Linked DNA regions of Canis lupus familiaris. The protein of the gene in region 2 binds, or shares a complex with, the protein of the main gene of each other region. Links are inferred from orthologs where the notes say so. Each region holds a gene or a part of one and is shown on either strand. Other genes may lie near its edges.

Region 1 (4,781 bases), on a different chromosome or scaffold from region 2:
CTCTGGGCCCAGATCCGACCTTCCAACCCCACCCCCCTGGCTTCTGTTTCCTGCCTCTAGTCCAGCTCCTCCTCTAGGAAAGGGGCCATCAGCTGCTGGTAATGGGTAGGGGGAGGGTGTGTGTGAGAAGCTCCTCCTGCCCCCTCCCCCCCAGTTCCATCACCTGACATGGACCTGTTGGGACCGTCTGAAGGTGCCTGCTGGGCAGCCAGAGAGGACCCTGAAATTATTGCTGGCCCATCTCCAGGTGAGCCCCGTTCCTCCTTGCCTTCAGGCCTGGCCCAACCTGGCCTGGCTGGCAGCTGACCTGTCTTTCACTAGGAACAATTTGGGCTGAGGGTGAAGATGCTGCTGCATGGGAGGTCCCTGCTCTACTCAGCAGGATGGCTGCCTGAAAAGCAGGCGCAGCGCCTAGCCCTCAGGTGAGCCCACATCTGGCTTTAGCCATGACTTGTTCTGTTCCTGGAGGTTGGAGGTGGGAGACCGAAGTCTTTGTTCTTCCCATCCCCATTTGGGCCCCTCACACCGTCCTGAGACCTTCTTTTGCCAAATGGAGCCAGCAAATGGGCTGGGGGTGGGGTGAGGATGGAAAACTTGAGAAGGGGCCTCCAAACAGCCTGCTTGGCCAGCTCCACAAGCTCCCCCACACTCTGCTAAGCCCCCCTTTCACAGCCCACTCCCAGGGGACTCATAGCTTCCTGCCTCCTTGCCCGCCCTGCCTGCTGCTCCTAAAATAGTTTCAGATGTTTCCTGCCTTGAGCTCCTCCTGCCCCTGGCTTAGGCTCCTTACAGCCCATCAGCACCCTCTGGTCCATGCCCAGTTACTCTGCCTACCACTGCTCACCTAGCCAATCACTCTCCCACCTCCCCCTCCCCCATACTACCAGGGTGACGGAATTGGTACAGCAGGTGACAGGCTGGATACCTAAGCCAGGGCAGCGGGTACTGGTGCTGGAGCTCAGCTGTGAGGGTGAAGATGAGGATACTACCTTCCCTCCCCTGCACTATGAGCTGTGACAAGGCAGTAGCCCTATTCCCTGGCTCTATCAAGCCCTGCATCCTGAGCCCATAGTAGGCACTCAATAAATACTTGATGAAGGAGGGTGTGAGTGGAATGGATGGATGATGAAACACAGGGCACAGGGTGTAATGCACAGGGTGTGTGACATGGACATGATGGGGACCCCTGCAGGGAGAGAAAGGGCTCTTTAGATTCGCCTTTCTGGGCTGTGTGCCTCAAAGAGCTGGGGTCGCCTCCTAGAGCCTCAGGGGTATGGAACCAGGATAGTCCAGAAAAGGCCTTTATTGTCCCAGGCTGGAGGGCAGGGTCAGAGGTAGCTGACATCATTGCAGATGATAGGTTGGCGGCTGCGGCAGCTCATGAGGGCTGCAAAGCGTGAGACATCTGCAGGCAGTTCCGGTTCCGGGCGAGGTGGGCACGACAGTCGCTTTCCCGCCATAGCCGCCCGGCGTGCCCTGGCCAGCTGGCGCCGCAGCTGCTCAGAGAGCCCAAGCAAGAACTGAGGGGGACGAGCACGGGCACGGGGCCCACCACCATTGTCCCCCTCACCCGCTGCCTCTGGCAGCTCCATCCAGTTGTGCACCAAGTCAGCAAAGCAGTTGTCCCCCAGCACCAGGGGCTGGCGACTGCGACCTCTGTTCAGCAGGGCTGCTGTCCAGTCCTCAGCTTCCAGCCCCTGCCAATGCTCCAGGCAGGCATCTGGGGTAGACTTGGGACGTGGCCGGTGGGCAGGTGGTGCACTGGCCGCAGGGGCTCTGCTGGGCAGGGGAATGCCACTGGCTGAGAGGCGTTGTCTATGTGGGGGCCATGCTGGGGGTGATGGGTGCTGGAGTACAGGCAATTCTTCCTCTCTCCATGTGCTGCCTGACACTTCAGAGAAGCCAGAGTCCCAGTCCAGGGCATGTTCCCTGGGGCTCCTCAAGACAACACCCTTGTCTCCTATGACTACACCTTCCTCCTCCTCTTCTACACAGCAGACTGAATTCTCTTCCAAGGCATCTGAAGCCCTGAGCCGGTGGCTGAGCGGAACACATGGGCCAGGTTTGGGGGGTGTTGGAAGGGGCCCAGACATGGGAGGTGAGCCTGTGTCCCGGCCACACAGCTGTGGAAAAAGAGAGGGCCCAAGTTGGAGGAGTTGCTTGTCACCCCTGCCTGCCTGGCCAGACCAGTCCCAAAACTGAAGGCCCAGGAGGGCTGGATAGGCCTGTAGGCCTGGACAGCAGGCCTCCAGTGGGCACCGGGCCGGCATGGAGGCACTGGCACACGTAGCTCGTGTGGCTCCCATCAGCCGACCTGGTGGCAGTCCGGCAGGCTGCAGCACGCAGAGCTGGGCAAGTCGGTACCCGCCACCAAGGCGGGAGGCAGGGTTGGGAGCCTATCTGTATCGGGAAGTAGGTCCTGTTCAGGGCTAGGGGTGGGGGAGCATCCCTGCTTCCTGAGGGATTCAGCACCCCAAAGCTCATAGCCTTTTTCAGAGAAAGAGCACTTGCCAGGTAGGGGGTAGGGAAGGAGGTACAGGTCGGTCTGGGGTTGAAGGCATCCACACCAGTGCCAGCACTTCTTTAGTCCCTCTCAGCCCCCTGATCCACCCCAAAAGAAGTTTCTCCCCGCCAACTCCCTCTGCCGCCCCGGCAGCAAGGCCAGCTGGGCGGCTGTTACTTGATGCCCAGCGCAGCTCCCAACCGTCCGAAACCCGATGCGGGCCATCTGGGCCATCTGCGCCGCCCCGCCCCCATCCTGCCTTAGATGGGCACTCGGGACGGCCCCTACCCGTGTGTTGTTCGGGCCGGACGGCAGCTGGGCACCCCGCACACGTCCTCACAAGCCACACCCGCTCCCAAGCCTCACCAGTTCCCAGCGGAGCTGGCCCAGGAAGCTGTCAAGCCGAGCGCTGTGCATGCCCGTGCCGGAGCGCCCGCCAGGCCTGCCAGTTCCTCTTCGAACTCCAGCGGGACCGGCGCCCACAGGGCCCAGCGGGCCGGCCAGCGGCGCCCGGCCCTCCGCCTGGTTCCGCGGCTGCTCGCTCTCCGCAGCTCCCGCCGCCGCCGCCCCAACATCTGGCAGCCGCGCCCCGCCCCTGGTGCCGCCCCCAATGGAGCCAGGGCGGGGCTGAAGTGGCCCCGCCCCTCGGGCCGGGCGGGGGTGAGCCTGAGGCCGCCTCCCCACTCCTCTCCAGCTCTGGGAGGGGGAAGGGGCGGGGCTGGCGCTCCCCTACACCCTGCGCGGTTGAGCCGACTCCAGCTCCGCTGCAGGACCCGAGACAAGTCGATTCCCCGCGGTAGCCTCGGCTTTCCCGTTTTTCCGGTATAGAACCGCGGTCCCTCCCGCAGGGGCCCGGTGAAGGCGCGGATCCCCCCACCCCCGCCAGCCACGCCCACGTGCGGGCAGAGCGCCCCCAAGCGTGGGACCCACAGTCCCGTGGCTGCTCTGGGCCCGACCCACTGAATCCATTCCTGGAGCGGGCGTCAACAACCCTGGAAGCGATGGGAGGATCTGCCCCCTCTGAGGATTCAGGGAGCACCGGACCGCGCCGCGGCGGCGGCGGCTCGGGAGAAAGGCTTCAGCCCAGGCGCAGCCCGCGCCCTCTCCCACCGCGCGTCTGGGCAGAGCTAGGCGGGGCCGCCCCCTAGTGGGGAGCCGCGGTTAGCCACGATTACCTGGGCAACTCCACTCGTTTCCCTCTGCCCGCAACACAAGCCAACCTAGAACGCAGGGGGTTAGGGCGGCACTCTGTCCAGAATAGTCAGAGCCAGTTCCTGGAGGCCGCTCCAGGATCCGAGGCTAGATTCCAGGATACAGTCTAACTTGAGAAAGACTAGACAAGTCAATAGACAGAAAAGTAGCGGGAATGAGGGTGGCCGGGCTAGTCTGGGAGAGGGGACTCGCAGAGGAAGCGGCATTCTGCATGGGATCTGAATGAACCATCATGGGAAATCAAGAAGGATATTCTAGGGGCGCCTGTGTGGCTCAGTAAGTTAGGTTTCTGACTTGATTTCAGTTCAGGTTATGATCTCAGGGTGGTGATACAGAGCCCAAATTGGACTCCACGATGAATGTGGAGTCTACTTAAAATTCTCTCTCCCTCTGCCCCCACCCATTTGTGCTGTCTCAGGAAGAAAGGAAAGAAGGTGAAAGAAAGAAAGAAAGAAAGAAAGAAAGAAAGAAAGAAAGAAAGAAAGAAAGAAAGAAAAAGAAAGAAAGAAAAGAAAGAAAGAAGAAAGAAAGAAAGAAAGAAAGAAAGAAAGAAAGAAAGAAAGAAAGAAAGAAAGAAAGAAAGAAAGAAAGAAAGAAAGAAAAGAGATTCTAGGCAGAAGCATCAGCCAATTAAAGGCCCTGAGAAGAGAAGAGTTGCACAGGGCATAACATAAAGAAGGCCCAGGTATCTAGATGGTAATAGGTGAGGAAATGAGGAGGTCAGTAAAACCAGGCTTCTAGCAGCCTTAGAAGGAAATAAAGGGTTTTGTTTTTGGTGTGATGGGGAGCACTGAGGCTTTTGAGCAGGCAATGACCTGGGCTGGCTCTTGTTTGGATAATCCCAGCTGCTTTAGGAGAACCACTCTGTAGTTAGAGTGAAGGCTCCTGCCCTCATCCATCAAGAGTGGAGCTGGGCCACAGAAGGGGGTGACTTTGAAGTATGTTTTGGAGCTAAAATAAAGTCTTGCTGATAAATGAATATGGGTAAGGAAAAAAGAGCATCCAGCACGACTTCTAGATTTCTGGCCAGAACAACTGGTTGGATGAAATTGCTGCGAATTGATCC
Region 2 (4,718 bases):
TGATAGGGCCTGGACCAGAGAGGGCCTGGACCAGCACTGGCCTCAAAACCAGCTGGGGGAGGACACGAGGAGGGTGAGACGGGGGTGGGAGGGGGCCCGGGGCCCACCTCGTTGAAGAGCAGCTCACGCCTCTGCTGCTTGCGCAGGTCCATCTTCTTGACGGCCACCAGCCGGCCCGAGCTGCGCACGGTGGCAATGCACACGATGCCCGTGGAGCCCTCGCCGATCTTGATGAAGTTGTCCAGGTAGGAGCGAGGGTCGCCGGGGTCCACCACCAGCTGCAAGGCGGCCCGGAACTGCTCGTGCGACACTCGCTGGGGTTCCCGCTGTGGCGAGCGGGGCCCAGGGGGCCCGGGGGCCGGGGGGCCGGCAGGGGCAGCAATGGGGCGGGCCTGAGGGGCCAGCTGGGGCTCAGAGGCATGGGGCCCCAGCACTCCCGGGCTGGGGGGACCGCGGGCTCGGGTGGGAGGCCGGGAGGAGGAAGACTGGGGGACCGCCAGGCCCCCTGCCGAAGGCCCGTTGGGGGCCAGGTTGTGAGGCTCCCCCTGCAACAGAAGAGAGAGGTGGCTGTCAGTGGAGGGGTGGGAGGGCCAGCTCTGCTCCCTGCGTGGGACAGACACATGGTGGTCAGGATGGAGATGGACGGTGGGCTGGGCACAGGCTGGAGTTGGGAAGGGAACAGGGGGAGTCTTGGAAAAAGGGGCAGTGGAAGGTCCTGGGGCAGGGGGGTTGGTTACCTGGGCACCCCGGGCCGGGTGGTCCGTATCGGCCCTCGGGTACGTGTTAAAGGGCCGACCAGCTGCCACTCTGGCCCCACCGGCCAGACCGGCAGGTTGAGGGGTGCCGACGTCAGGCCCAGAGAGGGGGCGTTTGTCCCGGGAGGACTCTTGGGGTCCCCCTGAGCCCTCCCTGGAAGACTTGGGCCTCTTCTCTGGCCCCACCCGCCGCCTGTCGCCACTGCTGCCACCCGCCTCGCTGCGACCGGCGGCCCGGCCTTGGCTGCCCGCCTTCTCTGGGGCCCCTCTGGCCGTGCTGGCCGGCTCTGCGGGCATCCCGTTCTCCTGGCGGGCACGGGCAGGTGGCGGTGGGCTGTCTCTCCGCAGGGAGTTGGAGCGCGTCACCGACATGTTCTCAAACTCGTCGAGCAGCAGCGTGAGGGCCCCATCCTTGGCGCCTTTGCTGCCACGCACGATGGTCTGGGGTCCGGGGCAATGGCGGGATGGGGGCCGGGCAAGGAAGAGGAGGACACAGGACGTGTATCCGACACACAAGGACAGGACAACACAACACACACAGAGACAAGACAGAGACGGAATGAAGAAATGCCATGGGGTGATGATGGGGCTGGGCAGGTGGGGGCAGCACCAGGGAGGCCCCTGCAGCCCCTCCCACACCACCGGGATGTCCTTCTCGCAGGGAGGAAGCCAAAGGATTAACCTCCCACGGGTCAGGCTGTCGCCCCTGGGCTGGCCAGCCCTCCCCCCACAGAAGCATCCCGTCTTTTCTTCTATTCTCCAGGCTGGGGGCCGGTCTCTGCCCCGTGGGCAGGAGAGGAAGGAGCGCAGAGCCCACACCACCCCATAATCAGCCCTGGAGAGCTGCAAATTACACGATGCTAGGGCCAGGGCATGGCTTGGACTTCCTCCTCTGCAGCCTGCCGGCTGTTAACCCCAAACCCATGCTCTGTTTCCCTGGAAGCCAAGGGTGGAGTACAGGAGAGTTGGAAAGGACCGCAGTGCAGGAGTGCCCTGGGAGCAGTGGTGGCGAATGCGAATTCCCACGGGGCCCGGTGGATGTACCGTGTGTCCCTAATCGACCCCAGCTCCAGCTGCTGAGTCTACCACCCTGATCCAGGTCATGGCCACCTCTTCCCTTGAGTACTGAGTCAAAGCTCCAGGGTTCCCCCGTCCCCCCTGGACTCTACTCCAGGCACACAGGGCTCCTCACTGCTCCTCAAACATACCAGGTACTCGCCCACCTCAGGACCTTTGCACTGGCTGTTCACTCTTCCTAGGACACCTTCCCCCAAGTATGCCCATAGCTCCTTCCCCGTCCTCCTCTTTCAGGCCTTTGCCCAAACTCAGTTTCTCAGGGGGAAGCTTTGGTTGACCACCTGGACTCTAAAACGGCAGCCCCTAACACTCCCTATTCCCCCTCCCTTTCTTCTCTTTCTCTGGAGCACCTGAAACCAGCTGCCATGAAGCACGCGTACACTGACCATCGCCTGCACCCCCCCACCACCCGTGTGTGATGTTCATGAAGGCAGCTGTTGTATTTGCCTGTTTTTCTGCTCTTGCTACATCTTAGCACCTAGAACAGTGGTATGTATGCAGAGAGTGCTCAAGAAACACTGGCTGAACCAGTGAGGGAGGGAGGAGGGCTGGGAGGGGGCTGCGGGGAGCAGAATATGCACCCCTATCCCTCTGCTGTCCCTCACTGGCCTGCGGGGACGTGGGCCCAAGGCTGCCAGACATCCTCAAGCCAGAACTGCCCCCTGTACTGTGCACAAAACACCGATGCCACAAAACGCACCTCCAACCCCGCCAACCTTCCTGGGCCTGGCCACAAGCGTGGAGGCCCAGTCTTGCCTGGGCACCAGGTAACGCAAGGTAGACACCTGGTCAGACCCTAGTGCTGGAATAAGAGGCTGAGAAGTCCCTGGGGAACGGGGGCGGGTCTGGGAGGACCCAGCCAAGGGGAGATTCCCAGCCTAGGGCAGCGAACAAATACCCAGAGGGGTCCCGATACAGCGCTAGCCCACGCGCACCCTCGTGTGAATCAAGACAAGGTGCCTCCTCCTCCTGGCGGACACAGCCCAAGCAGGGCTCACCGCCAGTGGTATGGGCAGGGGTCAGATTTTAGGGTCCCCTAGGGAGGCCAGAGCCAGCACGGAGCAGCCAGGAGGCCAGCCGGGGGATGGAACTGAGTAGGGCTGGGGGGGGCCTGCGGGCCCAGAAGAGCCAGTGCCCCGTCCGCGGTGGCCGCCACCCCCTCAGCCCCTGCGATTAGTCAGCAGAAGCCAGAAATACAGATTTGGATGTGAAGTCTCTGCTGTTTTAAGCCGCGGCAAAGAGTTCAAAGTACTCAAAAGGCCGGCATGAGCTACCCGCCCCCGCAGCCCCGGCCCTGGCACCGACGCCCACCTGCGCTGATCACGGAGGGCGTCCTCGGGCCACCGGGCCGGGCACCCGGAGAGGGGGGCTCAGCCGCAGGCCGGTCCCCAGGCGCTGGGCCCGCACGCCAGCACACCCGTCTCCACCCCAGAACAACCCTGGCCGCGTGCCCTCGGCCCTTCCTGGTTCCCACTGCCCTTGGGGTGAAGTCCGCGCTCCGGGCTGGCTTCCACGCCCTGCCGTGGACACGCAGATGGGAACGGGCTCAAGGGCTGTAGGCTGTGGAAACAGACCCTGGTTCAAATCCCCACTCCACCCTTTTGCTCAAGATGGCAGGAACCCCCCCACCAAACTAAAACACCTCCAGGGCTTTCCTCGGACAGCTTCCTCCCCTTTAAGCCCCGCCTCCTCTCCATCTGCCCAGGGACAGACGCCTCCTCAGCCCTCAGGGCTCAGCTCAGGTATCCCCTCCCCCCAAAGCTCTCCCAGACTCCCTGGCAGCAGCTCCCCTGGGCCACCCAGCCAGACCCCCCTGACCCTGGGGGCCTGGCCCTTGCCCGAGGACAAGTTCCTGGTACTGGGGACAGGCACAGAGCCCAGGGAGAGGAGGCTCAAGACAAGGAGGCTGGTGGGGGGGTCTGCCATAGGGGTCAAGGTGGGGGTTGTGAGGCAAGGGGAGGGGTCAGCGGGTGGAGGGATCGAGGTTAGCACTGGGGGTGAAGATCAGGGTAGAGGGTTGGGGTGTGTGTGTCTGGCAGGCAGTGAGGAGGGGTCGGCCCCAGGGTCAAGCATGAGGTTGAGGGCGCAGGGGCACCCTGTGGGCTCGGTGTGGGGCAGGAGAGGCAGCGGTGGGTCATACCTTGGGGGCCCCGGGCTGGATGGAGGTGATGCAGGCAGGGTCCACCAGGGGCTTGGGCCGCCGAGCCGACTCCTCGATCAGGCTCTGCCACTGGCGGGGCAGCCCCGTGAACTTCTGCTCGTGCTGGTCGAAGCCCGTGTGCACGCGGTGCTCGAAGTTGGATGGCGCGGAGATCTCTACTCGTTTCTTCTTCTTCCCAAACATGGTGCCGAGGCTCTCAGCACCACGAGGGCGCAGACTTGGGCTCCTATCAGCAGGCCTGCGGGAGGGGGCCGCTCACCAGAACCCGGCCATTTCTCTCTGCTCCTCTGACCCTGCCCTGGCCCTGCCCCTCCTCATCTCCTCCTTGGTCTCCCATCCCCCACCTGCAGCCCAAGGGACTCTGTGAACCATCTAAGTGGGGCCGAGTCCTTCCTGCAGCCCACCCCACACGACCTACCCCTGTCACCTCTCTGCTTTCACGTCCCTTTCACTCACACTGGTTTTCAAACCTCAGGGCCTTTGCACTGGCTGTTCCCATCTCGTGGAACACTCTTCCCCAGTATCCACACATGGCCCCCTCCTCCTTCCCCTCCTGTAGGTCTTAAGAGTTGTCAGGCGAATCTTTTCCTGACCACCCCCAGTGAAAGAGGTGCCCCGCTAGCCTTCCATCACATAGCTTCACAGCATGTTTAACTTCTGGAAGTTCTGCTGTTCATTTCTTGTGTTTACCAGTTTGATGTCTACACCCCCCAGCCCTAGAATAT

What was found. Proteins that work in one complex are often made in the same cells at the same time.
Region 1: the proteins of PAK4 (region 2) and INKA1 are in contact, whole or in part, in a crystal structure (PDB 4XBU), measured with the Homo sapiens proteins. The link is inferred for Canis lupus familiaris from reciprocal best matches to the Homo sapiens genes PAK4 and INKA1. Residues at the interface, in NP_001014831.1 of Homo sapiens: Ser331, Gln358, Arg359, Glu361, Leu362, Thr404, Asp440, Lys442, Ser443, Asp444, Phe461, Leu475, Val476, Gly477, Thr478, Pro479, Tyr480, Trp481, Met482, Arg489, Glu507, Glu512, Phe516, Asn517, Glu518, Pro519, Pro520, Met524; in NP_976248.2 of Homo sapiens: Gly178, Arg179, Ser180, Arg181, Gln182, Pro183, Leu184, Val185, Leu186, Gly187, Asp188, Asn189, Cys190.

What each region holds. Positions count from the first base shown.
Region 1 is NC_049241.1:39,875,528-39,880,308, forward strand, and holds INKA1 (PAK4-inhibitor INKA1), read right to left. Parts: upstream 2,921-4,781; coding exon 2,870-2,920; exon of another isoform or gene 2,792-2,869; intron 2,673-2,791; exon of another isoform or gene 2,512-2,672; intron 2,124-2,511; coding exon 1,329-2,123; 3' UTR 1,286-1,328; downstream 1-1,285. Other genes in the region: UBA7 (ubiquitin-like modifier-activating enzyme 7), read left to right, coding at 155-247, 322-422, 888-1,017; CDHR4 (cadherin-related family member 4), read left to right, coding at 2,919-3,101, 3,332-3,422. UniProt on the Homo sapiens protein: Inhibitor of the serine/threonine-protein kinase PAK4. Acts by binding PAK4 in a substrate-like manner, inhibiting the protein kinase activity.
Region 2 is NC_049222.1:114,799,635-114,804,352, forward strand, and holds part of PAK4 (serine/threonine-protein kinase PAK 4), read right to left. Parts: intron 4,232-4,718; 5' UTR 4,177-4,231; coding exon 3,973-4,176; intron 1,197-3,972; coding exon 738-1,196; intron 546-737; coding exon 108-545; intron 1-107. UniProt on the Homo sapiens protein: Serine/threonine-protein kinase that plays a role in a variety of different signaling pathways including cytoskeleton regulation, cell adhesion turnover, cell migration, growth, proliferation or cell survival.